Styela clava: one gene and its partner. The protein of the gene in region 1 purifies or fractionates together with the protein of each later gene. This does not show direct contact. Links are inferred from orthologs where the notes say so. Each region holds a gene or a part of one and is shown on either strand. Other genes may lie near its edges. The genes, in order: protein phosphatase 1 regulatory subunit 12B-like and serine/threonine-protein phosphatase PP1-beta catalytic subunit.

What was found.
Region 2: the proteins of protein phosphatase 1 regulatory subunit 12B-like (region 1) and serine/threonine-protein phosphatase PP1-beta catalytic subunit purify together in Drosophila melanogaster (affinity purification with mass spectrometry; 3 studies listed by BioGRID, with this or other methods). This does not show direct contact. The link is inferred for Styela clava from reciprocal best matches to the Drosophila melanogaster genes Mbs and flw.

The regions. Positions count from the first base shown.
Region 1 is NC_135255.1:4,339,286-4,356,654, forward strand, and holds the start of protein phosphatase 1 regulatory subunit 12B-like, read right to left. Parts: upstream 7,644-17,369; 5' UTR 7,557-7,643; coding exon 7,311-7,556; intron 1-7,310. Other genes in the region: uncharacterized protein LOC120330794, read right to left, coding at 8,480-8,654, 8,737-8,846, 9,242-9,413, 10,093-10,241, 10,483-10,668, 11,476-11,576, 12,406-12,585, 13,132-13,244 and 3 more.
Region 2 is NC_135250.1:14,149,889-14,167,046, forward strand, and holds serine/threonine-protein phosphatase PP1-beta catalytic subunit, read right to left. Parts: upstream 8,012-17,158; 5' UTR 7,938-8,011; coding exon 7,886-7,937; intron 7,332-7,885; coding exon 7,200-7,331; intron 6,633-7,199; coding exon 6,402-6,632; intron 4,892-6,401; coding exon 4,787-4,891; intron 3,980-4,786; coding exon 3,908-3,979; intron 3,726-3,907; coding exon 3,574-3,725; intron 2,454-3,573; coding exon 2,319-2,453; intron 2,051-2,318; coding exon 1,949-2,050; 3' UTR 952-1,948; downstream 1-951. UniProt on the Drosophila melanogaster protein: Required for cell adhesion in non-muscle tissues and in maintenance of muscle attachment. Vital for larval development.

The DNA of each region.
Region 1 (17,369 bases):
ATATGGCGCTGCGAACAGAAGACAGTTGGAGAGATTTTTTCATATCAGCTGAAATACCTGCGGAGGAAGCATCAATATATTCTAGAAAATTCATGGAAAACCGTATAACTGAAGTCACACTTCCTAATCTATCTAAAACAGATTTGTGTGATTTGGGTATCCAAGCTGTTGGGGATATTTTAGCCATCCTCAGCCACAGCAAAGCAAAAATGACACTCGAAGCCCACACACAACAAACAATAGATGCACCAAGAAATGACTCTAATATCATAAAGCCTCCTCCACCCAGAATGCCGCGGATAGAAATAAACATGACACGACCTCAATTTCGAAAATTCAAAACAGATTGGGAAGTGTTTAAGAAAATGACAAGACTTTCTGATGAACAATACAGTTCCCAGTTATACAACATGTGCGATGAAGCAGTTCAAACAAGCATAATCAACACAGTAACGGACTTTTTCAGTCTCGATGAAGAGGATATTCTTAAAGCAATTGAAACAATTGTTACACAACGTTCAAACCCCACAGTTCATCGCATGAACTTTGGTGCAATAATTCAAACAGAAACAGAATCTATTCAGGAATTCATCACCAGACTGAAGTCAGTAGCAGTGGACTGTGAATTTTCTTGTCCTCAATGCAAACACAACCTATCGTCACACCACGTTCGAGATCAATTCATCAGAGGTGTCCATAGCACAAGCCTCCAGACTGAATTGCTCGCCAAGGCCAACCAATTTAAGACTTTAGAAGATGTTATCAAACATTCAGAAGCCTTTGAAACCGCTGTAAGAGACCAATCAAAACTTCAGAAAACCGCAGAAGTATATGCGGCACAAACTTACAACAAACAAACACCAAACACCCGCGAATCGCAAAGGCCATGCGCAGGTTGTGGAAGTCTATCTCACGGATTTCCAGGTTCAAGGAACCGTTCAACAAAATGTCCTGCCTGGGGGAAAACTTGCACCAACTGTAAACAGCTCAATCACTTTGCTCGAGTTTGCCGACAGGTGAATCAGCCCCAGAAAAACCAACCACAAGCAGAAGCTAATGCCCTACTAGCTCATGTACGTTATAACAAAAAACGTCACTGCTTTACTACAGGACAACATGGAATGGATGAAATTCAAGCAACAGTACATCCATTTCCTCAGAATCGCAACTCGAAACCATGCACGGTACTAATATTCCCAGATAGTGGAGCAAACATTTGCTTAGCTGGCCCAAAGCATTTGCAGAGCATGCAAATCAAACAAAATCAGTTGCTTAAATGTCATAAGATAGTGACGGCAGTTGGAGGATCAACACTGACTTGCTTCGGCTGGCTGCCGGTCAAATTTGTAATTGGTGGACACTCTACCACACAACAAGTTTACATTTGTAACAAAGTGGATCGTATGTACTTCAGTCGCCAAGGCTGCATTGATACCAGAATCCTTTCTAAAGCATTTCCTTACCCTATGGAAATGGAAGCAAACGTGGCAAAAATTAGCACAGCAGACATCCCCACTAGTGAGAATTCATTGGGCCAATTACCAAAACGACCAAGAAATTTGCCATTCCCACCAATGGACACGAACGTCCCCCGACTGGAAAAGTACTTATTGGCGGAATTTGCAAACACTGCATTTAACAATGTCACACCATTTCCAAAAATGAATGCACCCCCAGCCCACATTCACCTAAAGTCTGATGCTCAACCATTTGCACATCATACTCCTATTCCAGTACCATACCACTGGAAAGAAGCAGTGAAATCCAGTCTAGACAGAGATGTAGAAAGGGGTATTATAGAACCTGTCCCTGTAGGGCAACCAGTTGAATGGTGCAGCAGAATGGTAACAATTGCAAAGAAGGATGGCACACCCAGACGTACTATAGACCTCCAGCACCTAAACTCCCAGTCATTGAGAGAAACTCATCATTGTCAGACACCATTTCAACTGGCATGTCAGATACCTCCTAAAACTAAAAAGACCGTACTGGATGCTGTAGATGGATATCACGCCATAGAACTGGATGAGGAAAGTCAGCATTTAACGACTTTCATAACTGAATGGGGAAGATACATGTACAAACGAATGCCTCAAGGATTCATTGCAGCTGGAGATGCATACACAAGACGTTATGATGATATTATAAACAATACACCTCGCAAAGTAAAATGCGTTGACGACACGCTACTATATGATACAAATATAGAAGAAGCCTTCTTCCACACTTGGGATTACCTAGCAACATGCGCAACAAATGGCATTGTACTGAATTCAAAGAAATTTAAATTTTGCAGAGACACAATCTCATTCGCAGGATACAACATAACACCAGATGGCATAACACCATCAGCAGAACTTCTCAAAGCAATTAGAGATTTCCCAGTCCCTAAAGACATCACTGGAGCCAGATCTTGGTTTGGTTTAGTTAATCAAGTTTCATGGGCTTATTCAATAAGTGAAATAATGTTACCTTTTCGTGAACTCATAAAGCCAAACTCAAAATTTTACTGGGATGAAGCTTTGGAAAAAATATTTGAAACATCAAAACAATTACTGTGTGAGACAGTTAAACAGGGCATACGTTCCTTTGACACAAAACGTGCAACTTGCCTCCAATGTGACTGGAGCAAAGATGGGATCGGATACGTTCTTCTTCAAAAATACTGTGATTGCTCGATCGATAAAGTTCCTATTTGCTGCAAAGATGGTTGGCATTTGGTTTATGCCAACTCCAGGTTCACCACGCCAACAGAAAGTCGATACTCACCCACTGAAGGAGAAGCATTAGCAGTATCCTGGGCCTTACAACACGCACGAATGTTTACCTTAGGTTGCCAAAACCTCATTGTGTCCACTGACCACAAACCCTTATTGGGAATCTTTAAAGATCGAGACCTGGATAGTATTAAAAATCCTCGAATACAAAACTTGAAAGAACACACCCTGCGATATAGATTCACAATGCAGCATTGCCCAGGGAAATGGCACAAAGCACCCGATGCTTTATCACGCAATCCCACAGCCTTGGAAATAACAGATACGAAAAATGCAGTGATGGACATAGCACGAAATGACCCATCATCTGATGAAGTAACAACAACAGAGCAGTGCGAAGCTCGTGTTCACGCAATTCAACAATCTGTCATCAACTCAATAAATGATGACGATGCGCTTGTGACCCTGGATCACATTAGAAGCCATGGAAAGTCTGACAAAAGCTACAACATACTCATCAAAACAATTGAGAATGGATTCCCTAACACAAGACATGGGACACCGCCTGAAATCCGGGATTATTGGGGTGTGAGAGATCGCCTATCAACTAAAGACAATGTAATACTAATGGACTCTCGCATAGTTATTCCCACTCCCCTTCGCAAGACCATACTGAGGTCACTACACTCTGCGCATCAAGGGATCACAGGCATGAAAGCAAGAGCAAACCAATCAGTCTATTGGCCGGGCATGAACGCCATGATCCGAAACTTTCGATTTGGATGCCTCACATGCACGAAATACGCTCCATCTCAAACTAAAGAGCCAATGATATCGAGCCCGGCGCCACAGTATCCCTTTCAACACATATGCGCCGACTACTTTGTACTGGGGAACCACTGCTACCTATCTGTTGTAGACAGATTCAGTGGTTGGATCAGTATTTTTCATTACCCACCACATCGATCAATCACTAAAGAGCTCATCAACTCATGTCGTGGGTTATTCACATCCTATGGAGCACCAGAAGAATTTGACTCAGACGGTGGACCTCAATTCACCTCATCCGAATTCCAGAACTTTTTAACTGATTGGGGAATAAAGCATCGAAAGTCCTCAGCATCTTACCCACAATCTAATGGACGGGCAGAGCTCGGAGTTAAAACTGCCAAGAGGATCATTCGTGATAGCACATCACCTGACGGTTCTCTGAATAATAATAAGGCAGCACAGGCAATCCTACAATACAGGAACACTCCTCTGCAAGACATTGATCTCAGCCCAGCTCAGATACTTCTGCATAGACAACTGCGGGATCACGTTCCTACAAATCCACAGCATTACCGTCCCCATCCACAATGGATTATATCTGCAGTGGAACGTGAGCAGAAACTAGCTAACCGCCATCACATCATTATCGACAAATATAACAACACATCGAGACAACTCCCTCCACTGTCAGTTGGGACAACAGTCGTTATACAATCACAAGTCCCAAACAAGCCACGACACTGGAACAGGACTGGTCGAATTGTGGAAATCCTACCTTACAGACAATACAAAATCAGAGTAGATGGCTCGGGAAGAGTGACTATACAAAACAGACGATTTATACGACCTTGCATCATCATTCAACCTCCGCCGATCATGCCATTCTCACCAACAATTCCCCCCAGCGGAGAGAGAGATGAAGACATTGGAAACTCTGGGAGTCATAATGCAGGAACTACTCAAGACACTCCGGTGGAAATACAACCAAGTCATCATGTGAGCCCATCGCTAACCAGCAGAGCTCCAAGATTGCCTAGGGCGCTTCAGAGGTTACAGCCCTACAACAAGCCAGGACGACTTGAGGAGAACTATAATGTTAACTGAACTGAACAAAACATTTCTTAATTTAAAAGACTCTGCGCCTCTGCCGGAGGGTGGAGATGAACATTACATTATATTTCATTGCATGTTTTAACTGTTTCGTTCTTGTTCTTTAGATTGTATTTTACTTAGATTGCTTAACTTGGTTGGCCTTGTACTATAGTTAATACTTCATGTGAATTGATTTAAATAGTGACGGCAAGTTATAAATTTGACTGACTGCCTTAGCGTCGACGGGAATAATGTTCGACGTAAATCAAACAAAGTGCATGGCATCCGAAATCACCAACCCAGACACATGCCCGTATTATCTATATAATTAGTGATGTAACAACGTGCTCACGTTGGTTCTTAGCGTTAATAACATTTTACATTTCATGTGCGCCGCGTTTGCATTGTTGTATCCAATTGAATATTTTATAGGCTGTACACCTTTCGTATACCCTTTATCAGTTGTATACCCAACTTATGGTCTGGTGTACACTTGGGTATACCGTATACCCGGTTAAAGAGCATTGGTCTAAGTTACTGTGCGATGTGTCCAGAATTAAAAAACGAAAGTACGAAGATGAAAACAGAGTTGTCAGAGTTGCCTTGTTTATCTATTTATTGTTGTTGGACTCTTGTGTGAATTTCTTTTCTGTTCATAGTATTTCGATAATATTAATAAATTCACAAATTCTGCGGCTCTTTTAAAGTTCTGACTTGCAGCTTGCGGCTCTTATACTAAAAAATTGTGCCCACCCCTGAACTATACAAATATGAACATCTCTAAATTTAACCCAATAATTTGATCCAGTGGTTGGTTTTTCATGATATTCATGTACCCCCATATCAATATTGATTAATGATGTATCAGAGAAATAGCATCTGAGTCAGTGACATACTAGTGATATATTAATCCTGCTCATACAATTCCAGTAATCAATGAGACACCGTATGTTGGCGAGCAATATGGCATAGAAAATACAACAATTTTTTATTTACTTATCTGAGAAATAGTCCATTGATGAACAATTTTAAGTAGACTGACAAGAAGAAAAAGGGTAATCAAAACTTTTTTAAAACATGCTTACACTCTTAATAGTTCAGTTTAATTATTTTGTTCAATTTATTCATGATTTGGTAATTCTATAATTAGAACTGATCATTGTGTATCAATAGCTATTTGTTAGCTCGGCAATGCTCGTGTTACTGTACTGTTGGAAATGAAAAATTGCTTCTCTTGTACCAATTTACTTCTATTTTTGCTAGTTCATTCTGAAAAAAATCTCTCAGCTAATAACCACTGTATCACTGTACAAGACCATGGAATATTTATTCGAAGCATTGAAGAATTTTTATAATCTATTCGATTGTTTTAAATTCATGTAATGATAAATATTGCATGAACATCACAGCATTTTGAAAACCAAAATTAGAATTTATTGCCTTTCCAGGCTCGGAGAATATTGTCAGATAGAGTTTCTGTACCTCGATTTTCAAAATATCCTGCGACACGCCTTGAGTTTCAAACAAAGCAATATGAATCATTTGATAACAAAAGTTAATTGCTACATTCATGAATGGTCAGTAACAGAACATTTATGTTATACCGTTGACCAGCCTACTGGATATGTTAACCCGGGTTTGAATAGGTGTTCCAATTTGAAGGATTTCTACAAACTTCCTATTTCAATACAGTCGGGCACAGTTTCTAAATTCCAAGAATGTCCAGTCATTTGTTCAATAAAACAAACACTCCATGTTTCTCACAAACGAGGGGCAGTTGGCACGATGACAACGTCATATCGTGCCAAGCTTGTCTCAATAATAATCTAAATTAATCACAGCCGTCACATGACCAAAATTGCAGTTGTTTTGCAAACTCTCGAATGCCACGGCAAATTTTATTTCCTTCAGTAAACCGGATTTTTTTCGAGAGGAAGTCAATGATGACATTTTTTAGATTGTGCTTCTTATTAGATAAACAAGATTATTAAACACAACAATTTCCAGACGTCCTCGAAAAGAGGGGTGTTTAGTCAAAATGGGATTCTCTGAAACGGGACAATGTTGCTCGATCTGTTAGGTGCCGTACTACAATATGAGAAAACTGGCAAAAAATTTATTGTTTTCAAAATGTTAGAGCTCAACGTCGAGATTACTAACAGTCATCATATTTTTAATGCCAGCATATTTTTAGATATTTTTTGCCATGTTATTTATAATTATAACATTACTTTAATTAGGTAAATTGCTAATAGCAAAATAATCATGATAGTTTATTCACGGATTCATGTGGTTAATAGTCAATTTGCTTTTTCAGATATCTGGATATAATGAAAACTGTATCAAAACTTCGAAGATTGTGATTATTGTTGTTTCGTCAAAAAAAAATTAGGAGAGTGTGGTTAAGTATAAGAATTTGATAAACAACAAGTACAGAAGTATTGAAATCTAAGCATACCGTATTTTCTATAAAAAAGAGATCAAGTATCATGCCCAGATACTTGTTTGGAAAAAGTTTTAGAAAAATTAGTTTGCCCATGCCCAGATACTTGTTTTGAAAAAGAATTGGAAAAATTATATACTAGTCACTACTGTTAATTGAATTGATAAAAAAAGGAGGATGAGAGTTTCGATTTATTTTTGTTTGATACAGAATTCTGGTATTATGCATTTTCTTTGACTGAGGGAATATCTTAAATAGCGTTCAGTTAACCTATTACATGACCATACCTGATGCAAAGCAGTTAATCCATCCACATTCGCAAAATTTATATCCGCCCCATTTTTGAGCAATATTCTGACTTCGTCTAAATCTCCACTAGAACATGCAGCTAAGAATACTGCACCGTCGTCGAACTTGACTCTCACTTTTGGATTTGCATATGTTGGACATTCTAAATCAGTAGCTGAATTTTTCCATCTAGTTATCTGTTCTTGCCTCTTTTCTTTTGCAGTTAAGGACCGATCGTCCTCCATTTTGACCCAACCTACAATTGCTCGTAACTACGTCATCAGCGCTCGCATACCTTCGCAAATTTCCATCACAAATGACCAGAAGAGGGCGCGACAAAATTAATCTTCCGTTTGCCTTTTTTTCTTCACAGCTCAAGGCGATAGTGCATTTGCTCCACGAGGTGGCCGCGTTAAAAAAAGTATTGCGCGATATATCGCCTTTCCATTAAACATTTGAGCCTAATATAGCAGGAGTGTCACGCGCTCATTAATACACTAGAATAAATTTATATTGACGCGGAAGATTAACAAAGGGCAAAATATAAAAAAAATCTATTGTATTGTTAATGTTTTCCTCTACAGTCCACTTTCGTATTTCGCATGATGGAAGAATAATAACAACGAACAAAGCACCTGCGACGGGCACTGCAATCTTGACGTATTGTCTTCGGGTGTACATATTACAAATTGTAATGTTTTCAACGCCAATTCCCAAAAACAAGAGGAATTGGCCCAATATTCTTTATAGAAATTGCCCTCCGTGGTCTAAAATTCCTGTCATAGACATTCATCTTTGAAACTATTACCATTAAGAACTTTATTTGTAAATATTCAAGAAGATCGTAATATTTTGACAGCATCAAGCTATAATAAAAGCATACCAATCAAATAGCATTTAATTCTGTACAAATAAACGGCCCAAAAATACATAGGCTCCAAGACAGGAAAAGAACCAGAAAACACTCAAATTTATTGTTAGTGATGGCAACAGACATTGTAAAAGAATATTCACATAAGCTGTCTGTTTGTTGGCAGTGATCGCACGTCTTTGTTTTCACACAGCCTATCTTTAAGAAAAACCAGAGATGGTATGTATCAAAATACTGGCAGTAGACACCATTCTCAACCATATATTTTATGAATTCTGTTACACCAGCAATGAATTTTCACATATTGAAGAAATTACGAACAGCATCTCTATCTGTTCTTCCCATCATTTCCAATTCCGATATAAGTTGAGGTAGGGGTGAATCAGAAAGTGTGATCGGCCGCTCCTTTGTCGGAGTTGGGAAATTTAGTAGAGTGGAAAAGAAATTCGCCCAGAAACTTTTGTGAAACCATCTGAGAATGAAAACGTATAGACTTTGAAAATGATATTCTGACGCAGTATTTTGATTGAAAATTGATTATTCGAACTGCGTACCTCTTAATTTTGTTCTGTATTTCCCATTTTCCGTCTTGGTTTTTTCTTATTTTCATGTAGGAACCAAACAGTACAACATGCAGTGACCCGGCAATTCCATATAGATCAATCTGAAAATAAAAATAATAAACAAAAAAGGGAAATGTATACAGACACAAACTATTGTTACTTGAATACTTGTTTTAACACAGAAACTCTGCTAATGCAAACTTTATGAAAATAAAATGTGTTCTCAAATACCATGCTATAATATTTTTTGAAAGCGGATGAAACACCCTAAAAATGCTAATTTAGTAGAAGATCCATCAGTTCAATTCATGCCCAATAATATCATCATAATTGGAAAAAATAAAATTGAAAATTTGTAGCAAGTATACCAGAATTCTTGTTCACAGATTTGTGCATATTGTGTGAATATAAGCATGTGTCAATAATATTTCGGTATTAATATCATGTAAAAAATATAGAAGACAGTAATTTAAAATAGTTACAAATTCACTCTTACATGGTAATTCCAAGGTTCTTTGTTTTGCATTTGAACACAAATAAACGCACTCGTACAACAGTTCTTTATAAATGAAGATCCATACGGCATTTCATTCATATCGATAGATCGACCAAAATCAATTAATTTGATCCCACCAATCTCAGTGAGGGAGTCAGAACAATCAGATGATCTGCAAACAATTTGAAAATTATAGTTGCATAGTTTATTTCGAATGAGGGAAATCCCAGACAAATAGAACATACTAAATCAGGGGTGTGCAAAGTGGTCCGTAAGCCAAAACCCGGCCCGCCAAGCCATTTAGTGGGGGTCTTGTCAACATTCATATTTTCCCCATCAAGCATAAAATCCTAATCGGACAGTTCATGTTTAAAAAGGCGCTCACGTGGGCCAAACTACATGTTTTTCTGCTCTTGTCGCTGAGTTAAATCATTCGCCGTTTTGACTGTTGCCTTCATTTCTGCAATACTAAGCTAAGTGATAGCCGTATTATCTTCTCTTGCCTTCCCACGGCACTCTGGTTATAGGTAGCTAACGTATTACGCTGTTCCATATTATATTGTGACATAATAATCCGTAAAAACCCAAGTGTTAGTGTGGACCAGCTAGCTGTCCGAAGTTAGTTTTAAGTTGCACACCCCTGTACTAAAAAAAGCCATACTCACTCCATTTCGATTTTATTTAGCCCAGAAGCAAGCTTTGAATTCAGACCAGAAAGTTCGGAAAAGTGATAGAGGCAACAGGAAGAAACCAGACTTTCCTTGAGTTATTAGCAACAGACAAAATCATTCAACTTATATGAAGACTTCACTACAAACGTTCCATGGTACATAAACTATTAATGAACTCACAATGGAACCACCATAAAGTTATCAGGTTTGATATCGCCATGAATAATTCCGACAGTATGAAGACTATGAACTATTCTCATCAGTTGATTTGCAATCCACCTTGCAGTTGCATCTTTCATCATTACATTTTTATTTGCATTAATTTTATCCTAAAAATAAATGAGAATTTATTTACATTTCAAAGTCAAAGAGTATAGCTGAATGGTGTTAAACTATCTTGCAATTTCATAGCTGATAATCAATTTCAGATTCGCAAGGTTAACTTCAGGGGATGAATAGTAAAACTATTAGTATTCATAATTACAGTTAAAATATACAGCCATTTTAAAAACAACCAAAGTATTCATTTTGGCTATGGTTTGAATCTCTATGTTCGAAATTTGTTCTTACCAGTAAAGTTCCCTTTCCATAATGCGGCAGTGTCAACAAAGACCCATCTTTATATAAATAAGCTGAATTAATATTAACAATTGCATCAGCAACATCAGACATTCCTTGTAATCTTAGTCTCGTCTTTGCTTGATTTATTATATAAACTTCCCATGGACATGAAGGTGTTTCAACCTGAATTGAGAACTATTAACATCCCAAAAATAGTCAGAACAACTTTTTGTTTTAGTGGAGAATGGGGAAATAATTGTGATTTATGTAATATTTTTCTGTTCAAGTTGAAGGAACAGTTGTTAGAGTTTAAGCTAAATTAGTAAAATTCACAATATCGCAAAATGCAGATCAGTACTTGCCACTTCCACACTCCCTAAAGTTGCAAAAACTAAATACTACATGGAATCGAAAATTTAAAAGCTAAAATTCGGAAAAGCCAAAATTGAAAGTGTCAACTGGAAGTAAAATAATGGGAGAAAAAGTTAAAGAAACAAAATATAAACTTGGGACATTTTAATTTAGAACATTATGTTGAAGCGATTGTTTAGTCGTAAGTCATTTCTTAATATCTCAAAGTTTAATTCTGATGTCTGCCTGTTACTTTTCTCCACATCACGGCCCTGATTCCTTTTATCCAAGTCCAAGTTTTTAAACAATTTAAATATATATTCCAGTAGTTCCCAAACTTTTAGGGCTCGCGGCCCTCTACCGGGAGGCTTTTAGCACTCATGGCCTCCCTGTTTATCATTCTAGTGGTATTTATAGTGATATTTTGATTCCAAATCTCATTATGTTGAAACATTTCATGCTCAATAAGGAGAAAACAATCTGTGAAATAACCTAGTCAAACAATGAAACTAGGAAGAACAGGGAGTTTTCTTGTAAAGTGAAAAGTAAAAAAGTTTCGCGCCTAACATTATGAGCCCTCTCCAACTGCTCTGTGGCCCCGAGGTTGGGGACTGCTAATCTATTCAATGACGATAAAATAATTGAACATACCTTGAGAACCTGCTGACAATCATTTTCATTAGAAGCAATATAGAATACTTTAGCAAATGCTCCTTCACCAATCATCTGACCAAGTTTAACATTCTTTCCATCTGAACAAAAATAGGAGTTTTATGTGAAAAATTAAAATTAAAAAAAAATTCATTGCTTGAATTAATATTGGATGACTGATCCCTCGGCCCACAAGAGAGCAAAAGCATTTTCTCTGGTGGCCATGAACTATGGCCTTCACTAGACAACTATAATCATTAAGATCAACTTGATTACGATTTGTTTAATTATTTGACTGAAATGTATATATGCTTATGCTTTCATATGTAAGCTTCACAATATACAACATTGCAAGCAAAATAACTAAAGGGAGCGTTTTTATAAAAACTAGGTAGGTTTTTTCATCCGAATGCTGAGTGTCCTAAGATAGGGTTACAATCAAGGTTAAATATAAAATTAACGTCAGAAACACAAAACTTTATTTTAGAATCCATAATATCAAAAAATATCCTATCCACAGTCACATTTTTGTATGTTTGCATAAGCCACACATGGGATATATATTTGCAGTAAAATCCTGATGTCACACAAACTATTTTAATAGGAAAAATGCTATGCTAATTTTGAATTAGTATATCCTCTCTTAAACACAATCTTACAAGGTGCCACACCCAACTAACCAAACCTACTTAACTTCTCATCAATACAAAAATGTGAAAGATGGAAATGATCAAATGACTATGGTTTTCCATTGAATTAAAATTACCGTAAATAAAACTCGGGCTAACTTCAAGACCAAGAAAAGGGGAGTTGATTTAAAACATACGAAAACGAAATAAATAACAGAGTGAAATGCTTGAAAACGAAATTATCGAAATATGAATTAACATTCCAATTACAGCAAAAAAGACAAAAAAATTAACGATATACTTAGATTCAGAGTTGATCCTTTGCGAATGCTAGGCATTGGCATGGTTGCCATATGATGTATCTCAGTGTCTTTGATATTTGACAAATTGTTATGATGTTCCATGATTGAATTCAATAAATCTTTGTTCCACGGATCATCAATGATGTTTGGTAAGGATGATTGCGCAATACTCTCCGCCTCTAAGTTTAAAAAAAGAATAAGGATTATTTACCTTCACTAGTAATTTAACAAAACATAATGTGTGTAACGATCTCAGCAACAAATCCTATGTAATATATTGAATAGGTGATGCTAAACTGGAATGATTCCAGTCCTTTCAAAAGTAGTAGTTGCTTACATATTGTTGGATATCAGTAGAGGCTTATTCAGATCCTTGTTCAGAGCAAAACGCTTGGGTAGGTGTGGATTGCAAAATGGCCAACAAATATACAAAAGTTAAGATATAGATATGTTCTATGCTAAATAAGAAAAGCTTTGAGGATGATTGAAGAATTAAAAAATTTATCTTTCTCTATTTCATATTATAATTCTGCTTTGTGATATACCAATTTATGACATCACAAATGAAATAAGTATGACGGTTAACTATTGTGACACTGACATCACACAAAAATGCACAATGTAATAATAAACTACATTTTCCTAAAAAATGAGATAAATTTGAATTTTTTTAAAACAAGAAATTTCAAAAAGTTTTCGGACAAAAAAATAAAATTCGCATTCACCAAAATCAGCTTTCTTGATTGAAGTTGAACTAAAATCGGTGCAAATTTTTTCAATTTCCGTATTTTCTTTCAGAATTTTTTGACTTATAAAAACATTGTCATCTGGTTTAATTCTGTGGAAAACAAAATTGAAAAGCGAAATTTAATAAAGAATAAATAAAAATTTGAGAGTTGCTGTATCCGCTTTTTAGAAAAAAATTCAACAATGATGGGATCACACTTAAATTAAGCAACCAACTATGTAAAAATAAGTAGATTCACTTTAATGCAAAATTATAGAATATAAATCTATTGTGGTATGGACATTGATATCCAATGATATGAAATATTTTGGAAAAATTTCATTAATTTCTATTGAATAAATCTTTAGATTTTTTCATATTTCTAGTTAGTTTGAAAATTATTTTTTTTTTTACCAATTCATAATAGTGAATCTTCCCCCCAAAACTATAATATTTTTGTTTAGCAAAACCGTAAACCAATAGCCTATTGCTACAATACTCTCAGTCATATGTATGTATACAGAAAATACACAGAACTTTAAATTAAGATTGCTCAAATATGACTAATTTTGGGTACGGTTAGGCCATAATTTTATTCCGATTTTCCTTATTTTGGTTCTATTACGAGTTCGGTGACTGTTTGTGTTAGCTAAGTGAATATACCCCCTGCCCATAAGTTTCAGTTCCCTTGATGTAACACAGCTTGATGTAAAGTAGGCGAACAAAATTAGTTTCCCTCCATTGGCACACATCATTCTGGAGCGCCCTGTTTTTTACATACCAGTAATTTAAAATCTACCGTTATATGAAATTACAAAAAGAATTACTCACGAAAAAGCATCAGAAGGAGGTTTCACTGCTTGTGGTGATTCCCACAATCCACAATCGATAGTACCTCCAAAATCCATGAAATCTAAATTTCAACAATGCAATATTTAACTCAAGTATCAGTTGGGGTTACGCAAGACTTTTCCATGCTCTTTGTCAGGGGTCGGCAACCTTTTGTCTTTTGTGAAATATATAATTGTTAGGTTATAATATAATTTAGTATAAATAATATATTCGTCAAAACGGATGTTTTGTAACTATAATTTAGTGAAGCGTCGCGGGCCGGATTATAATGCTCCGCGGGCGTAGGTTGCCGACCCCTGCTCTATGCCTTCGTGGAAGTGAATCTGTATACGTGTAACCAAGGATGCTGTGGCAAGAATAAAGATGACTATACTCAGGGTTGTCCAAAACGAATCGAATATTCGAATGTATTCGAATATCAAAGTATTCGAATACCTTTTCGGCTGATTTTCGAATAATTCCGAATAGTAGCCACTTTTTGCCGTAAACGTGGTGTTTCGGTTTACGGGAATATTTAAACGACTCTTTACGCTGTCTCACGTAATGACGATGAAATAGAATCGGCACTTTGATTGTTTATATTCTGTGCGACCGTACCGTGTTGCGACACATTTGCACGTTTGCATATTTAATTTCTATGTGGCCTGCTTATTATTCGCATGAGTCTTCTCAAGCATGATTTGTGTAACCTTATATTTGGGTCTTAGCTTAGGGTCTGCCAATCATGATATTTAATCGCAGGCTGGTTATCGTTACTTTAAAGAGAAACACGTCCACCAAGATAAAGTGATTTGTGACCCTTTCGTTTTGCCGATTCAGCAAAACACGACAGGGACAGGAAAACAGCTGTGAAATAACCCGTGGACGTACAGTGTAGTACCTATCACATTCCAAAATTATTTCAACATTCGGGTTAATAGGTTGTTCAAAATGATTGCCGCTTTACAACTTAAATTTACCACTCAATTGTTGAAAATAGTTAATTCTGTGAGTATGATTCTACCAAACTAACATGATCTGGTTCTAAACATATAAAATTATTAGCGAATTAATGCCAAATACAACGGGTATTTGTGGACATGAAATACGTGGTAAACTGCCCAATTATAATTAATTTCGTATTCGTGTTTACAAAATAATAAAACTAATAATTCTAAAATGCAACGGCGATCCGTGGCCTTCAAATGTGTGGTAAACTGCCCGATTTACCAACATTTGAGTTATGATAATAGAATTAAATTAACACGGTAAGGCATTTTAAGTAGTGGTATCGGTCATGGATTCGAATATTTTGTGCAGCACAAAATCATCCTAGTAAAAAGTCCATACTTTTAAATACAAACCAATGGCAACCATTCTCCAAATTAGTTCCCAAGAGCGGGATAAAATATAAATTCTTTTTCCGACTCGTGACAATTTTTCGTGAGTACGAAAATAAGAATCAAAACTAATTATATTCGGCACAATATCACTGCAATCTGTGGACATAAATTGTGTGGCAAACTCGCGAATAATATTAATTTTTGATTCCTATTTTCGTATTTACAAAATACAAAGGCGATCTGTTAACTTACAATGGGTGATAAACTACCAGATTATAATTAGTTTTTAAATTCCTATTTTCCTATTTATGAAATAATAAAAGTATTATTACTCAAACATACAACGGCGATCTGCGGACTTGAAATGTGTGGTAAAGTTCCCAAATATAATTAATTTTTGATTAGTATTTTTGTACTCACGAAAAAATTGTCACAAGTCGGAAAAATGCCTCATACTTTATCCCGCTTTTCGACAAATAATTTGGATAATGGTTGGTATTTAAAAGTATGGGCATTTTACTAGGATGATTTTGTGTTGCGCAAATATTCAAATCCATCATCGATACCACTATTGTCGTATTAATTTAATTCTGTTAACATGACTCATGGTATATAAATTATATACTGCAATAATCTGCAAATATGAAATGCCTGGTAATATAGCTAGGTTGTAACTTGTAGATAGCAGTTATTCCATTGCTTATTGTATGGAAATTCCTACATACATTTAGGTAAGCTTCAATTAGTGGATTTTATTTTCGAAGTATGCGAAATTTCATATTCGAAAAAAATAATTTCGAATGTATTCGAAATAGTGAACTATTCGGTATTGGCCATCCCTGACTATACTATTTGATTTAAGAGTCTTACATTTGAACTATGAATAAAAAAGTTTATTTACAACAGCTAGGCAGATGTTTATATAATAAGCACAATGTAACCATCGGGGTGGGTCATTATTTTTGTTGATATTTTATCTCCATAAAAAGTACAGTCGTAATTTCAGCAGACACAAGTGGGCCGGATGAAATACTTCGGCGTACCGGATTCGGCCCACGGGTCGTAATTTACCCACCCCTGGTATATCAGGTCTTGTATGAATTGAACCGATACTGAATAGTTGGACTTAACTACGACGCCATTGCAGGTTAAAATCTCAGGTTCGAATCCCATGCCCCCAATATAACCCAGGATGTAATAAATTGGGTAGGCATGGTTGAACAAGAAAGATTCCTGTCCTTCTAACTATAGTAGCCTATCACCTAGTAGTGGCTGCTTGAGCAGAGACTTTTTCAGACCGAACAACAAATAAAGTGATGTATGAAAAAATTTAATCTGCTGTTCAAATGGCCAGATTCACCGTAATCCTAATTAATACTCATTAATTTGATATATCAGAAATAAAAACTCTAAAAACTGCAAGGAAATACCAATATCGACATACCCAGGATATCATTCGTTTTCGAAACTGTACCATTAGTCAATGGATCAAAATTATTAGTTTTTGATAAGTCGCTTCCGAAACTTTTCATTTTGAGGGGATCATTGTTAACGATTAACAATGGATCATGAGTTCTATCATACACTGATTCTCCACATGATGACTTAGCTTTTCCCATAACAGAAGATTTATCTGATTCGTTGCTGGCTTCCAAAATCGGACTGTAAATAAAGAAATAAGTGATATTAACGTTAATATAATATTTAAGGAGCATTTCTGTAATAACTAGGAATTTAAGGTTAGATACTTCGTTTTCAAATCCGAGACAAATATGTACTCAAGGTGTAAAAAATAATGTTATAGGCAGGGATGGAGCTGAGGCTGTGGAGTTTGTTAAAGCTGGAGCTAAGCTTAGCCCTGGACCAGGGGCGATGTAAGTGTGACGTTTAAAGTTACAATTTACAAACAAAATTTAAAGTCTTACAAAAGCAAAAGTGGAAAACAATAAACTAAATTGTCAGGCTGTAAGTTTGCCCATGTCAGGGTTAGAGTATACAAAAAATCCCTACATAAATATCGGACCAATTGTTTATAACTACCTTAGTTGTTTCATTTCAGCAG
Region 2 (17,158 bases), on another chromosome or scaffold:
TGTACGGGTACAGATGCACGTGGGTATAAAGATAATGGAACCATTGAGTTACTCAGCGATACAAAGTTTTGTAGAGTAATTGGTATGTAAGTCATTACTGGTTATTTCCTGGGCTCGGTACGCAAGAGAATGCTTGTCTTGAAAAACCCGGTAGTTTACCAAATTGAAAACGCGTCGAAATCCTTGAATCGGTAACGTATTTTTTAATGGCCACAACTCCAGTTTCTGCCGATCTTCAACGTTAAAACGCATGAATACGATATTTATACCACGGCAAGCGCTTTATTATGCGACGGTACGGTATTTTGGTTCTCACCTCGGGCTTCGAAGCTGGAACAAAAACGGCTTTGAACCGCGATAGAAAACTATGGACTAACGCTAATATCGGCGAGTCTTTCATTGTTAGATAGATTTTAGTGTTAGGAATAGAGTGGTCACACACATCGGACATTTGACTTGACTGGCGCGGCGGTGTGGCTCAACGGGCTAAGCGTTAGGAACACGCTCGCCACCGCACCTCTAATTACTCTGCGTGGGTTCGCAGGTTCGAATCCCATGCAGGGATGGTTATGTGCGAGAGGATTGCTGGACTCCTCGCCGTCGTTGGGTGGTTCACGTAACCGCTGGTCGGTCACGGCTTCCTCCACCACCAAGTCCATGCTTCCGAAAACAAACAATACAGTAAAACTAATCCCATACCAGACTTGGAATGGTAACCGGACGAGAGGCCGTGGTTCGCCATATGGATAAGCCGTCTTATCGGCTTTCCTCTCCCCCGGGATAAATATGTAAATCCTATCCTATCGCGGGTTTCCTTTCGCACAACGACGGTCGATATCGATAGTATTGGGTTGTGAAATGATCGAAGGCAGAGTGGTCACTTAATTATCAGTTACTACATATAACTGCCCTGCCGAATCCCCCACTTGTATTGGATAAGATAATACCTAATAAGAAAAGAATCATTTTATTTTAATTCAAGTACAGAACAAAACAATTTCAATCTACTAAAAAATTATTCCAAATTTGGTTTCTGATTAAAGGGTAAGTGATAATTAGATTGGCATCTTCTGGAATAAAATTTAATGATTTCGCCAAGCATAAAGGACATTACAACGATCCCCAATTAGTATTGACAAGAAAGCAAATACAGGTTAAAAAAAAAGAGAATCGACTTCGTCCTAAAATACTTCAGGCGGCATCTGATATAAAACTAAAAAACAGCACAATCAAATCATTTGCAGGAAATGTCAGTCAAATAAAAATGTGGCATCGAGCTCCACAATTTGAATTATTTGGTTAATCAACAATAATGCTGTGTAAGGCAGGAAAATAAAATTTGTAGAATTTTCCTGATAAAACCTGCCCAAAGACAGCATGAATTTTCTCATGGTCAATAGTGTAATCTACTTAATGTTTGGTACCATTGCTTGAAGGTTTATAGCAATAAAAAGAAACAATCAATCTGAATAGCCATGTTAGAGTGATAAATAAATGCAGCATATGTTTTCAGGAATCAGATGGAAACATGCAGTGAATATTGATGGAACAGCTTATTTTTGTTTGATCCACTTATACACATTGAGTAACTGACGGCCAGAATTCCTGTGCTTAATCAACGTTTAATCAATTGCACGTAAAACCATGACAAATTCAAATTTTTTTGCAAATCATAGAATTTGGGCATCTTACAGTTATATTTTATCCTCTAGGTTGAATAGCTACCGGTATATATATTGCCCCCTTGTTGATGTTATTAAGAAGAAAAAGAAAGTATGTATATATAATTTCTGTACAAGCATCAATGACTCTTGCAACTGCAATGCTACCATACAACGTTACATCTTTATTTTATAGTGGTAAATACTGTTATGTGCATGCATACGTGTAGCATGTTCAGTACATGGAAGTGCAGTATTGTTTATTTGAAAACACTTCTTTTTCAAAATCATTTTTTTCCTGAATTAATTTTGTTTGGAGGAGTTATCGGCCTTCCAGAGTTCAACCCTCCATATTGATATTTGGCTTTCTTCTCAGCAGGTTTCAATATCTTGAAAAAAAAAATTCCGTCTTTTAGAACACAATAAGAAAGCAATTAATTTCACAGTTACAAATCCCAATCTAAATATAGATGTCAGTCTGAACTTTAGCCTTATCTACACTCAAGACTGCATGTTACGATATATTCTGTCAACAATCTACAGTGTTCTATGCTAACTCAGTTAATCTCCCAGTATTGGTGCAGATGTGTAGTGCAACTATCCCCTCAAATAAAAAGTCATGGCATCATTTTAGATATAATAGTCTGCATATCGTACCTGAAATGAGCAGAGTAATGTCTCATCAATACTCATCATACCACCGGCATTATCAAATTCTCCGCAATAGTTGGGTGCAGAGAACAGTGTGATCAGTTGGCGTTTTGCAAAGAACTCATATCCATCTTCAACAACCTTTCAATGTGAAATAATTTGTTTGGTTTATTCCGTTGCTAGCGAACGGTATTTCATTTATTGTGATATAGAGTCAAATGCATATAATAAGTTCAGTGATTAATATTTACACATGAGACTATATTCTTGTTGAGACTATATTTTTGTTCTGGAGAAATATCTCTATGAAATTTAATAATTGCAGGATAAAATGCATAATATATGCTGGAATAAATCACTCAGATCATACTATGTAACCTCCTTAAAGTCAGTAAATATCCAGTTTGCAAATCCATTTGATAGTATCCCTCACATTGGAATATATTCCACAATCCACATTATAACCAAAGACCCAAAACACGGCCCTTAGTCAAATATTCATATAAATATATTTTTGATAATTTAAAAAATTTATCATTTGACTTTTGTTAGCCAGTTATTTGTTTTTGGGGTGCATGAACTTGGTGGTGGAGGCAACTGGAACCAATCAGCGGTTACATGAACCGCCCAACGGCAGCGAGAGTTCAGCAATCTGCTTGCACATAATTATTCTACACATGATTCGAACCAAGGAATCCTCGCAGGGTAATCAGAGGTGCCGTGGCAAGCGTATTCCTGACACGCTTTAGCACGATACGCCACACCACACCAATGTGCCATTTTAATTTTTCCAGGTAATTGCCACTGGGAGTGGGGTGGGCTTTTCATATTCATTTTGGCCAGGTATTCTACTATCGAAAATACATCAATCACCATTGTAATCTATGAAGAGACAAGTCCTGGTTTAATATTTATCGTGAATGATTGAATTGCATCCAAGTTGAAATTTCCTGTCCGTTGAAATCTAAATACTGTTCAATCCAAAGAATCAAGGAAAATGTATTATCTGAACTTGTGAAGAGACGGCTTACGTATAAAACATTCTCATACTGATCTGCCAGTTGCAGGTAAGATGGCAGAATTAAAAAATAAGGCTGCTCTCTGTTTTATATATGGTAGTATATTATATATTGGCTATTATACTACAATATTAGTAGAATAGTTTTCGCACAAATCCTAATGTTATTGATAACAAATTTACAAGATAATCAATCTAAAAATAAATTCCACAAGAAAAAGAATGCAAAAGTTTGAAAATTACCTGATGAGCTCTGCATATCAAGTCTAAATCATGTCTGTTTAAAAACTTGCTGACAATATCTTGGCCAAATGTAAATGAAACTCCCCTGTCATTTTCGCCCCAACCAGCTATGTCTTTGTCTGGATCAGCCCACAATAAATCACATAGAAGTCCTAATAAAAAATTGAAAACCGTTTGAAAGATACTGATACTTCGTTATGGTCCAATACATTCTCAAAGTGAAAAAAAACTACACTACATAATAAACATTAATTTTTTTAATAGGACTGCCAGTGGGTTTTGGATTTTTTCCAACACAAGTCGGGGTCCTACCATGCAACAATGAAAAACTAACCTGTGTCTGGAACATCTGTTGGCCTCATTATCCTACGAATCTGATCCATAGTTTGTAAATCGGGCGACAATCCTGAAAAGATTTAAACAGATGGTAAACAGAAAACCATTACTGAAAAATTTACTATCCTGCATATATTCGATAAAGCAGTTTCATATATGCAACATCGCATATGTACAAGTAGGCTACTAAATATAGATAAAACTTGAACAGAGGGGCAAAATTATAACAGGAACGTTTCATACTTGAGAGTTGAGACAGAGTAGAGAAAGCTTGTTTATAACCAAAACGAATGAAATCTCACTTTAAAATTTACCACGCATATACTGCTGTTGTTTTCATTAAAATAGGTGGCCATATATCAAGATCAATTACATTGAACAATCAATCACACCAAGCAAACAATTCTTCTGTTATGGTTTTTTATTTTAATTCAATTTGATAATATCCTAAATTATTCTCGTTTTGATTTTATCTCTTTAGTTTGTATGTGTGTGAGCGTGCGCCCAGTAATTTGCAGATGAGTGAACATGTACCACATCTCACTAAAACACTTTTTTATTCAAATTTTTTATTCAATAAACCTTACTCAGATTTTGTTAGCTCTGTTGATTCTATAATCAGTTTTATTTGTTTATTTTTATCTATTATTTTGTTACATGTCATGCTGATTATGGAATCCAAATAAACTTTTATTTATACAGTCTTGAATAATTTAAACTTCATGTACTTAATCTCAATTTGTTAATAATAACTTCCATTGAAAAACAATATTAGTTATAACTTATACTATCTTGATTAATAATGCTTATCATTATGAACTCATGTATCATAATATAAGTAATAACAAATCACTATCTATTCTGAGTAAACATTCACCTCCATGACAACAAAATATTTTCTCATCAATAATAGCAGCTATAGGAAGACAATTGAAGCAATCGGTGAAAGTTTTCCAAAGTTTTATGTTGAATCGACGTTTACCTGAAAAATAGATGAAAATTTTGTAATCTTATTGTCAATGAGGATATATGACAATGTACCGGTAAGTAAGATGAAATCTAGTTTCAAAAGCAGGCAAGATGAAGTAATAAAGTTTTAGTTGACATTACACGCAATTAATGCTTTACATTATAACATTTATAAAACGTGATGCAACCTTTATATCGCATGATTGAATTTTTTCTGAATAGAACAACATAAGAAAGAGTTTACAGGCTATGCGAGAAAAGAAGGCAAGCAAATTCTATCTTATTAACAGGATTCCTTTACCATAATGGCCTTATTTAGTGCTTGTGTTAACGAGTGATTTAAAAAGAGCACGCACCAAAATTTGATATCTAATCCTGAGGTAAATGAGGTTAATGAAATGTCTTGTACAACAGTAATAATTATGCCGGCAAAGTATGTGTTAGATATCGTGGCTTGAAGAAAATATGACTTAATTATTATGACAAAGTAGAATAATTTGTGACTGAGAAATTTATTAAATAAGTAGTTAGTTTCAGCATGTCAATTAAGGTGTGAGAACTTGCAGAAAATTAAAACATAAATATCAAAATAAATAGTGAACCAAGGAAGAAGCACATAATGCAATAAAATGGGATGACTTCCATTGTCATCGAGCTACAAAGAACTATAACTGCAAATGGTGTTTTCGGTTTCGTATAAACTGTACAATCTATATAGGTATAGTATATTATTATAAAAACTGTTTGAAGAATTTAGAAAACCGTGTAACATCTATCACTTATCGCAAGTTACTGACTTACTGGTACTCAAATTGTTAACAATTTTTTTTATCCAATTTATGAAGAAGAATATTGTATTATTAATGATAATATGGAAAAACAAATATTAAAATTACATCCATACTAGTATACTTGGTAATTAATTTTTATTAAAATAAATATGTAAAAAAAAAATCAACAAATTCATTAACAATTTCCCAAATAAAATTGCAGTAACAAATATCACCGGTCCAAACTGGATTCAGAGTCGCAAAACATTGCACACACAAAATTTGACTTTATTTTGCCCATTTATCAAAAGTAAGATTCCTTCTTATCAAAGTTTAGTCTATCTGTGACAACAGTAATTAGTTCCTATCATTTATTAAAGGTTACTTTTGATATACAGCATATTCTATATGCCGTAATTTCCTTGCTTAATTAATACACAGAGAAAATATAATTTACTCCTATTCAATGGTTTCCCCCATTGTTAAATCAATGTTTACTGTAATCAATACCACGAATCAACATAGATAGTGTCATACTGTAGTGTTATGATTAATCAAATTAAAAGTGATAATATTCTTAGAAATTGAGACTAATGATTAATGAACATACTGCACAATAAAAAAATTCAAATTTACATTCCAACATAAAGGCATACAACCACCCTATCAGACTTTTGGTGTCTACACTTTTCGTAAATCAAAAATTGTACAGTGAAATTCTAGAATATCAAACTGATATATGCTCCTACTTACATTCATCATGAAATCCATATATACGATTGATGCTGGCACATTCATGATTCCCTCGAAGTAGAAAAAAGTTTTCAGGATATTTGATCTTGTATGCCAATAACAAACAAATACATTCTAGAGATTGTTTTCCTCGATCCACATAATCACCGAGGAAAAGGTAATTAGAATCAGGCGGAAAATCACCATACTCGAATAAACGTAATAGATCTGTATACTGTCCGTGGATGTCTCCTAATATTAATGAAACATTCGTATAATGAATCAGGTATGATCATCATATTTACATTCTATTTATTAAATTCTTCGATTAAAGATTGGTCTATCAATTTGTACAGTTGGACTAAGAAAAGAATATTCTTGTGACATTATAGACAATATTATTTTCTGTATTATATTTGTCAAGGAAATTCATTTGAGCTGTTGCAGTAGGGAAAGTTCTCAGATTCCACGATTTTCCGACATTTGTTTCTATAAAACAAACCGGATCGGATTATTTTTTCTGAGAAATGCGATGGTGGTGTTTTTAGATTGCTCTTCCTTTTAGTTTTATTGCACAGTTCCGAATTGCTAATTTTTGCCTATATAGAGGCCCAGACTGTCTCGTAAAGGAGGGGTATGGGTTTGCACTCAACTGTAATCGATCGATATCTTTCAATATGTGAGTTATGTTAGAATCGGAGAACTGTGCCATATTGTATTGTCCTAGCTCTTAACTTCAGTTGAACTTGATTGAATTTCTCAATAAAATCACATACTTAAATTAGGAAAACTAAATTCAAGATCATGATTTTATCTCACCACATATTTTCAATGGTGCTTCCAACTCCAAAAGAATAGGTTGACTTAAAAATATTTCTCTTGATTTGATACAAAGACCTTTAATTTCTGCTTCTGTCATTTGTACTGTTCTCCCCGGTCTGCCCCCACGAACTGAAATATAGAGAATGGTGTTTACGAAATGCTTTCAAAGTAAGATTAGCATTAAAGATCTTGCAGTAAGGTCAGAAGGTGATATAAGGCTATATGACAGTTTCTTCTGCATAAACCCATATTTTATTAATAAATGAAAAAAAGATAATAGGATAGGATTTACATATTTATCCTGGGGGAGAGGGAAGCCGATAAGACGGCTTAACCATATGACAAACCACGGCCTCTCGTCCGGTTACCATTCAATGTCGGGGATGGGATTAGTCAGTTATTTTTTGCAAGCATGGACTTGATGGTGGAGGAAGCCATAACCGACCAGCGGTTACGTGAACCACCCTACGGCGGCGAGGAGTCCAGCAATCCTCTCGCACATGACCATCCATGCATGTTGAACCTGAGAAACCCACGAGGAGTAATCAGAGGTGCAGTGGTCGAGCGTATTACTAACGCTTATCACGATGAGCCACACTCTGACACTGCCACGCCGGTGATAGCCTATTTGGTTAGAGAAGTTAATCATATCTTGGAATTGAAATTAAAAAGTTAGTACTAACCATCAAGAAGGCGTTTTATTAATCCATCAACATCTAGTTCACTGTCTGCCATGTTCTTTAAATATTTTAAAATCAATAACTAGATGATAGACTAGAATGAAAATTCAAAATAAATCATAAATCGTTAGTTGCGCCAATTGATTCTGGATGACACAAGAGTGTGAATGATTTTTAAAAAAAAAGATGGCACCACACTGCAAGTTTTAGGAACATGCTGTCGATGAATGTTTGGCAAAAAATTAAACTCAAAGTATACAAAACAGTTTAGCACTTTCTGACTTTAAAAATGTTCGGAGCAAAAATGCATAAAATTGAATTTATTTTTCGAATAAATCAGGGTGAATCCATGAAGATTGAATTTCGCATTGCAGTATAGTTAAGGCAAACATTGCTCAGATAGACTTTATATTATATAGCCTACATGCCGGATTAGGTCTAACCATCTTGATATCAAATGCTTGTAATGGTGAATTTTTTGAATAAATATATTGTATGACAGTACAGCAGTATGAAGTACAGTATAACTAGTTTACATGTACTCGAATATGTGATTTATTTCAACATGGCTGGTTTGAAGCTTCTGCAGGTGTAGACTACTGTTACAAAACAGTGAAATACTGGTATTCACTATTCCAGTATTCAGCTGTATTTGTAGAAACAAATCTGATACTGGTAATACTGTAATAGGTTTAATAGGTCAGTAGGTTTGTAGGTAGACTATCTGCTGATCTGATCAAAATCGTAATTCTAGAAAATATATATTTATTCTGCATATTCAGATATTGCTGTATTGCCACATACAGATTTGAGGAAGAATAAATAGAAAAGCAACATTCACTGTTCAAGAAGTGTGGTATCGGTACGGTACCGGTATCACTGTATCAAGCCAGTCACCGAATGTTACCGTATAGAACTGAAATTATTTTGCATTATTCAACTTAGAGCTAAAGTTACATCATGATTCTGTAATTTGTATCGTTATGCAGTTGTGGGTAGGTACGGTAGGCACGTACCGTTCTTCTCGTTTTCGCAACTCCCAAGGCGATTGAAGAACGAACCATACGGTAGTACCGGTAACGGTACCGGTACCAGTAACGTTTTGTGACCGAAAAGTCTGTGGGTCTCACGTACGTCCAGTGTAATACTTTTAGAGGGTGTGGCTAAACAATTTCTACATATGTCATTCCTGGCCCCATCTGATGATGTAATCCAAACATTACGTCAACGTGACGACATGATATATATAGAGCTTTTTGCGTTATGGCGTCCGCATCCACTTAAACAAATAGGGGTACCGTACGGTACAAACGCCAGCGATCTCTCGCATCGGAATTATTTCGATTAGCTGAAAATAAATATGAACAGCGAGCAGGTATAAATCAAATTCTCGGACGAAAGTTCAAGAGGCATCAGAGCAACAGCCGAATTTTGCTGCGTTACCGGTATAGTAGGACAACAGACATGAATATACAAATAAAACTCTTGTACAATACACAGGACAAAGAGGTACTGCACCATGATGATATGTACAATAGGCAGTTTATGGCACGTTCATCTCCCAGGTTCTGATGTGAATAGGGTATAAATTAGGGTTAGCATTTCGGGACCAGTTTTTGAAATCCCGGTATCGGGATATTCCGGGATTGAGCCGTATAATCCCGGGATTTTTCGGGTTCAAGTAAAAGATCGAAACAACTTGCATGACAATAAAATTACGTATTTATTTCATGTAATATCGGCGCGGAAATATTAAAGCATCTATCAGTAAGTAGTTTATTTTTCACCATACTTCAAAATAGGCACAAACATACAAATTGCAATAAATTATAAATAGGTCATATTTCAGGGTGAAGGAGACGCGGGAAACCAGTACTGGTTATTGAGCACCGGCGCCCATAAAATAAGACTAATACTATATTATAAAGAAGAAAAAGTCGAACTAAGTATATGTAAATTGAAAAAAAATGTAAGTAAATGGTTCCCAACCTTTTTGGACACGTTTAGTGGCCATAACGATCGTTTCAATATTATGTTGTTGTTGTTCTTTGACACGTTTTTAAAAAGTCGCTTTTCTTTTCGAATACTGGACCAATTGCTTTGAAATTTTCAGTGGTTAAAGATTAATTTTTTCGCTAGAAGGCTATTACTTTTATTTATTTCAAAATTTTGCGTGAATTCTATGAAATTTGATATTTCGTCTAAAATTTTGCTGTATTATTTTTTATCCATGGGAACACGGATTTTAGTCAGTGTCATGACTGGCTGTACGTTTTGATTCTGCAAAATTCTTGCTACTGGAAATTCAGAACTTTTTTGAGGGTACCGGTAGCGTCAAAGGTACCGGTAAGGACTGATTCGCTCTGGTCTAACGTGTCCATATATTTGTGCGTAGCTCTCTTGTTTTTTAAATCGTGGCACACTAGTTAGCTCTTTCAATTTTCGTGGCACACCTATCACAAAACACGAACATTTTCTAGTCATGAAGAGTGCGATATTTGAACACGAACAAATGGTTAATAGTTACAAATTTAAAGCAAACGAAAGCGTCTTCGCAACACCTCACATTGTTGTAAAAGTCGCGCGGCCGCATGGGTAATACGTGGTCTTCAAACGCACCGCCGATCACGCGCTTCGGTTTTGCTCGCCCTTCCACGTTATGCTTTTATTATTGGACACGTTTAGTGGCCATAACGATCGTTTCAAAATTTTGTTGTTATTGGACACGTAGTGGACATAGCGATCGTTTCAATATTATGTTGTTGTTGTTCTTGTTATTTGACACGTTTTTAATAAGTCGCTTTTCTCTTTGATTACTGGACCAATTGCTTTGAAATTTTCAGTGGTTGAAGATAAAAATTTTCTTCAGAAGGCTATTACTTTTTTTTTCTGCAATGACGTCATCAGAATTATTGCCCTTAGGGGGCGCTACGTGTCCATATATTTGAGCATAGCTATCTTGTTGTTATTTTCTTTCGTCATTATCATTAAAAAATCGCCTTTCTCTTCGAATACTGGTCCAATTGCTTTGGAATTTTCAGTGGTTCAAGATTGATTTTTTTGCCAGAAGGCTATTACTTTCATTTATTCCTGAATTTTCTATGAATCTTATGAGATCTAATATTTCATCCAAAATTGCGCTGTATTTATTTTTAATTATGGGAACACGGTTTTTAATCCGCCAAGCGTGACGGCTGACTGTGAAAATTCTTGCGACTGAAAATCCGGAACTTTTTGAGGGTACAGTACCGGTAACGTCAAAGGTAAACCCTGCTTCGCTCTAGTCCACGTGTCCATATATTTGAGCGTTGCTCTCTTGTTATCACTCGTATTCTCACTTTTTCACAACCCAATTCATTTTTGGACACGTAGTGGACATAACGATCGTTTCAATATTATGTTGTTGTTGTTCTTGTTCTTTGACACGTTTTTAAAAAGTAGCTTTTCTCTTCGAATACTGGACCAATTGCTTTGAAATTTTCAGTGGTTAAAGATTAATTTTTTCGCTAGAAGGCTATTACTTTTGTTTATTCTTAAATTTCATATGAATCCTATGAGATATGAAATTTCATACAAAATTTCGCGGTATTTATTTTTACTCATGGAACACTGTTTTACACTTATTTCAAGCGGTTTCGCGATCGATTGTCTTGCTCAGTACTACAGCTACTGTAGGTCGGTACTGGTAAATTGCCATACAGGTACCGTAACGCAGTGAAATTGACTTATTCCTTCCGCGGTATTACTAATGCTGCAATGCAAGTTTTATAGCCTATCGTATGCGGAACGGAATATCAGACCTACAGGTTCGGTACCGGTACTGGTAGCTCAGTACGTAAGTACGATACTGGTACTGGTGCCGGTACCGGTGTCTTACCACAATGAAATTACCGTAACTTATTCTTTCACGGTCCTACCAGTGCAGTAATGCAAGCGTTGTAGCACTTGTAGCCTACTATATTTGTTTATTTTGATGAGAGTCTACTGGAAACAACATAAAATTTGAAAGGGAAGAATTGTTCTGTGATCAATTATCTGTCCTAAAGTGTAAACAACATAAAATTTGCCAAGGGAACAACTGTTCTGTGATCAATTACCGTATATGGCCTACAGTGTACAGGTAAGATGCTGGCTGACTGCTAACCGGTACTGGTAGCTCAGTACGTAAGTACGATACTGGTACTGGTGCCGGTACCGGTGTCTTACCACAATGAAATTACCGTAACTTATTCTTTCACGGTCCTACCAGTGCAGTAATGCAAGCGTTGTAGCACTTGTAGCCTACTATATTTGTTTATTTTGATGAGAGTCTACTGGAAACAACATAAAATTTGAAAGGGAAGAATTGTTCTGTGATCAATTATCTGTCCTAAAGTGTAAACAACATAAAATTTGCAAGGGAACAACTGTTCTGTGATCAATTACCGTATATGGCCTACAGTGAGTGTACAGGTAAGATGCTGCCTGACTGCTAACTCAGTACCGCTTGACACGTTTTTAAAAGTCGCTTTTCTCTTCGAATACTGGACCAATTGCTTTGAAATTTTTAGTGGTTAAAGATAAAAATTTTCTCCAGAAGGCTATTACTTTTTTTTTCGCTATGACGTCATCAAAATTATGTGACTCTACGTGTCCATATATTTGAGCATAGCTCTCTTGTTGTTACGAGTCAATACGTTTCTCCCATTGCCAAAATCATTTAATAGTGTTATTGTCGGCACTTGCGAGAGAAAGGAAAGAGGCAAACAAACTGTATTTCATTACAACAATTATTCATTATCGCCAAAAACACAAAATAGGTTTAAAGTTGTTATAAACAATTTTCACCGCTGGACGTATCTTTTCACGTTCGGGTAAAAAAAAGATAACCGTTTTCGTGTTCAAGTTATGAATGAAATAATCGTCAATTCCACCACGCTTTTGTGAAGTAGAGGAATTTTTCTAAATTTCTGAAGGTTTTATTAAGTTTCATTGCATCAGCGTTTAGACTACAAGAGAGCTATGCTCAAATATATGGACACGTTGAGTCACATAGTTTTGATGACGTCATAGCGAAAAAAAAAAGTAATAGCCTTCTGGAGAAAATTTTTATCTTTAACCACTGAAAATTTCAAAGCAATTGGTCCAGTATTCGAAGAGAAAAGCGACTTTTTAAAAACGTGTCAAAGAACAAGAACAACAAGAACAAGAACAACAACAACATAATATTGAAACGATCGTTATGTCCACTACGTGTCCAATAATTACAGATCGCAAGGGTGGGCAAAGTACTGTAGTATATTTTCACTGAATCGAATAATTTTAACGAATTGTCGAATATCGAGTTGAACTCGGGATTTTATTCCGATTTTTATCTTTTGGGTCGGCTTTGATCTCTCTTGTCACCGTTTGTAAATTAACTGTCCCAATTTTGAGCTGAAAATATTATCATTTCTGACGCCGGAATGCGGATAATTATGAAGACGATAGTTAACCTTCTTGATTTTTGATCATACTTTTCTACTGTGGCTGTTTTATTTTCGTATCCAATAATGAATAAAAACCAGATAATTATGAAGACGATAGTTAACCTTCTTGATTTTTGATCATACTTTTCTACTGTGGCTGTTTTATTTTCGTATCCAATAGTGAATAAAAACCATGCAAAGTCATCGGGTGAATCCTGAGTACTATTTTGAGTTCAAATTATGATTAAATAAGTCGGCAATAATGACAATTCTACTAGTCAAATAATAATTCCTTGGTAAAATTTGACTTAGTCTGACTTACTCAAACTGTAAGCGTGGAAGGTTTTTTTTTCAAAGTAAGTATTAAATAAAATGGTAGGCCTATGTATAACCTACCATTTGTGAGAATATCTATATGTATATCTACAAAGCCTTAAAATCCCGGGATTTTTAAAAAATAATTGCTGGATCGGTATTGAAAAAAACGGTCCAAATCCCGGGATTTTGGGATCTGGATTTTCCGGGGTCCCGACCCCAGTATAAATCGCATTTTTGTGTGTTTTACAGTAGATTGTACGAAACAAGTAAAAATTTGTTTTAGACATGAACCTGCCAAAAACCACCGTTGGGTTGGGCCACGACACAAAAGGATTAGGTTCTAAGAAGGTAAACAATAAACGACATATGTAGAAATTCTTTGTTTACACTCGAGTTGGTAATCATAAATTGTATGCGACAAAAGTAATGAGAACAATAAGAGTCTGGCATAAAATGCAGGCCAATTTCGTAGGCGCTATTGTGTGGAATTTATTGTCACCATGTCTCAGCATGATAAATTTGTATAAGATGATCTTTTCATTAGCGACGATCCAACGAAGTACAAAGCTAATAAACCATAAAAATATGCAGGAACTAGAGACAATAGATCAGTGGGTTGCCCGAGACTTGTTTCCTGAACAATGGGAGTTGGTTGCATCCACGATGACATAGTTAGTCAAACGGAGATATTTTTCATCTGCCGGTCTTTTCTCAACTTTTGAACATGAATGACAATGCTCAACTTGTAGTATTTGTGAGGTGTCATGATGAGAGTGAGGAAAAATTTATGCAAGATTTGTTGGGTATGGTTACCCTCAAAGGAAGAACATGAGAAGAAGACATACATGAAGCCATGAAAAGCATGCTAGAATCGAGAAATATTGGATCTAAATCAATCATTTCACTGACAACTGATGGAGCAGCAGCAATGATTAGGAGAGGAAAAGAATTTTCTACGTTCAACATTTCTTTAAACACTGTTATTACCTAATTAGTCCGTCGTTTTGTAAAGCTGATCCACTCACTTATACAATCGAGGCTTATTTAGATTACCAATTTGAATCAAAAGTATCTGGTATGAAATCCAACGGACTCTCATTACAGACTGCCTGAAAACTGTTTTAAATAACGTATCTTTTTTTCTCTCAGCAACATACTTCAGCCATTATTTAGCTATCCCTATAAGCAGAAAATCAGCTACAAAACATTAATCTTGTAAAGTGAAAGAATAACACAGAAACTGGAAAGTTTCGGACTGAAGCTGAGGATTTCAAAAATGCCTTTGTCGATAATCCATTTTCAGAACTCTTTGAATAAGCTAAGCAAGCAGTGATACTATCTCATTCAAATGCTGATAATAAAAGAATTTATAGTGCAATGAACAATGCAAAAATAATTTGAGAAACAGATTCATGCAAAAATTAAACTAAGGAACAGCATGAAGACAGATTTACTGAATGCAATACTAGTTATTAAATTTGGCCTGATTAAAAAAAATGTTGCACGTCTTATAAGCTACCTGATTCGGATGCCAAGAAAATAGGTACAGCAGAAACTTATAAAAATCTCTCTATAGCAGGGGTTCCCAGACCAGGGGTCGCGACCGCAAATTGGGTCGGAGTGATAAGTAGGTAGGTTTGCAAACAGGTCATGGCGTCGCTGAGTTATGGTTGAGGGTGGATGTACAAAACATCTAAGATTTGACAAACCATGTTAAATTTAGCAGATTGTACTATGGCTTACTGTAAAACAGGCCCATAAGCATCGCTCTATGGCTATGCTTATGCTATAAGAAATGTAGGTGATTATTGTGACATCACTGTTTGATTTTAGTTTATTTCACTTAAAACCACCACATGACCAATCTCAAAAGTCCAATGAAAGAAGCTCTAGAGTTCCATGAAAAATATATATATTGACCTGAGGTCGCACTGGACAATTGAAAGTTGTCTTTGGGGTCGCCCTGAAAAAAAGCTTGGAAACCCCTGCTCTATAGCAACAACATCAACAGATGTTAGCTTCTTCGACATCTAATACAGTATTATGTAATATATTAAACTTTGTGTGCTCTTGTTTCGTTAATTTTCATTCAATTTAAAAACTTCATATTTAGATATATTTATTTGAATGCTTTGGTTTTCAATCAAGATGTTTTTTGAGGTCAAACTAGAATTTGTTTAAGTCAGGCAAGAGTGGCAGCCCCTTGGCGTGAGCCGCTTGTATAGTATCCATCTTGGGAAAAATCACTGTATTTCACTGGCCTTGCGTACGGCGTACCAACTCGTGGGAAGACAGTGTCAAGTCTGTAAATGTTGCAGTTAAATGCGAAGACTTCACATAATCAGAGCCATATTGAAGTAGTCTACCACTCTACCCCATATCAGTACATTCCCCTGCGGCACGTCATTACCAAGTCGAGGTGGCCTAGCGGGTTACCAACGTATTAACCATCTTCAACGTGTTTCACTTCACGTCATTTTGTGACTATATGAATAATGTCGACTATATTGAATGGCAGAGTGAATCCATCAAAATCTTTTTTGTTCGTAATAAAGCAGGAAATGCTTGTGATGCCGAGGGAGGTGGCATCCACTATCCAAATAGAGATGACTCATTGGAGCTAGAATTTTCTGAAATTGAAATGATATAGTGGCTTTACAGATTGTAAATTATCCTTTGCTGCTTGTATTGAATCTAGTTCATGCATTCATTCAATCTTGTCAAACATAAATCTGACTTATTTTAATTGTCAAAGGTATGAAACTGAACTGAATAATTACCTGGAGCGATATGAAAAATCATGCGAAATGCGAAAAATGTGCTTATATCAAGTTAGAACCATGATGGAAGCACTAAAAGAAAAATCTCAATGTTCTCCATCACATCATCATAGTGAAGCAAATGTACTTACCGTATATGATATTGTTTTTCTGAATTCTTTTTACGCTTTATATTTGTATAATTATTTGAAAACAATCTATTTTTGTGACATGGATCTTACCACTAACAACTAGCAAAAATGGGAGAGGTGAATATTGTCTGAATCGAGCAATTATCGAAAATCCGAAGCAAGAATATTAGCTAAGGACTCTAAAGTTCACCTTGCAACTTGAGTAAGTTATATTTAGAAAACTATGTAATGTAATTTTAAACTAAAGATTCCAAAAAAATAGTTACCGTAAATGCTCGTTTTAACGCCCGGTCTTGATTAAGGGCCCGTTTGAATAGCCGCCCGTGTGAACAGGACATAAAAATAAATAAGGGCCGGTGCTTGAATACCCGCCCGGTGTAAAAGTTTTTTTTTTTTTGCGGATTTGTACCTGCGGTGCGTAGAAAAAGTCAAAATTTTCATTATTCTCGTTTAAATCATACTTGAGAACTGGAAATGACAATATACGGTATTAATTATTGTAACGATCGATCTTATCTACCGGTATTTTTGTGTGTAATTTTACTTTAAAAATAACAAGCGCCCCTGCTTGAATATGGGCCGGTTTGAATAAGGGCCCGG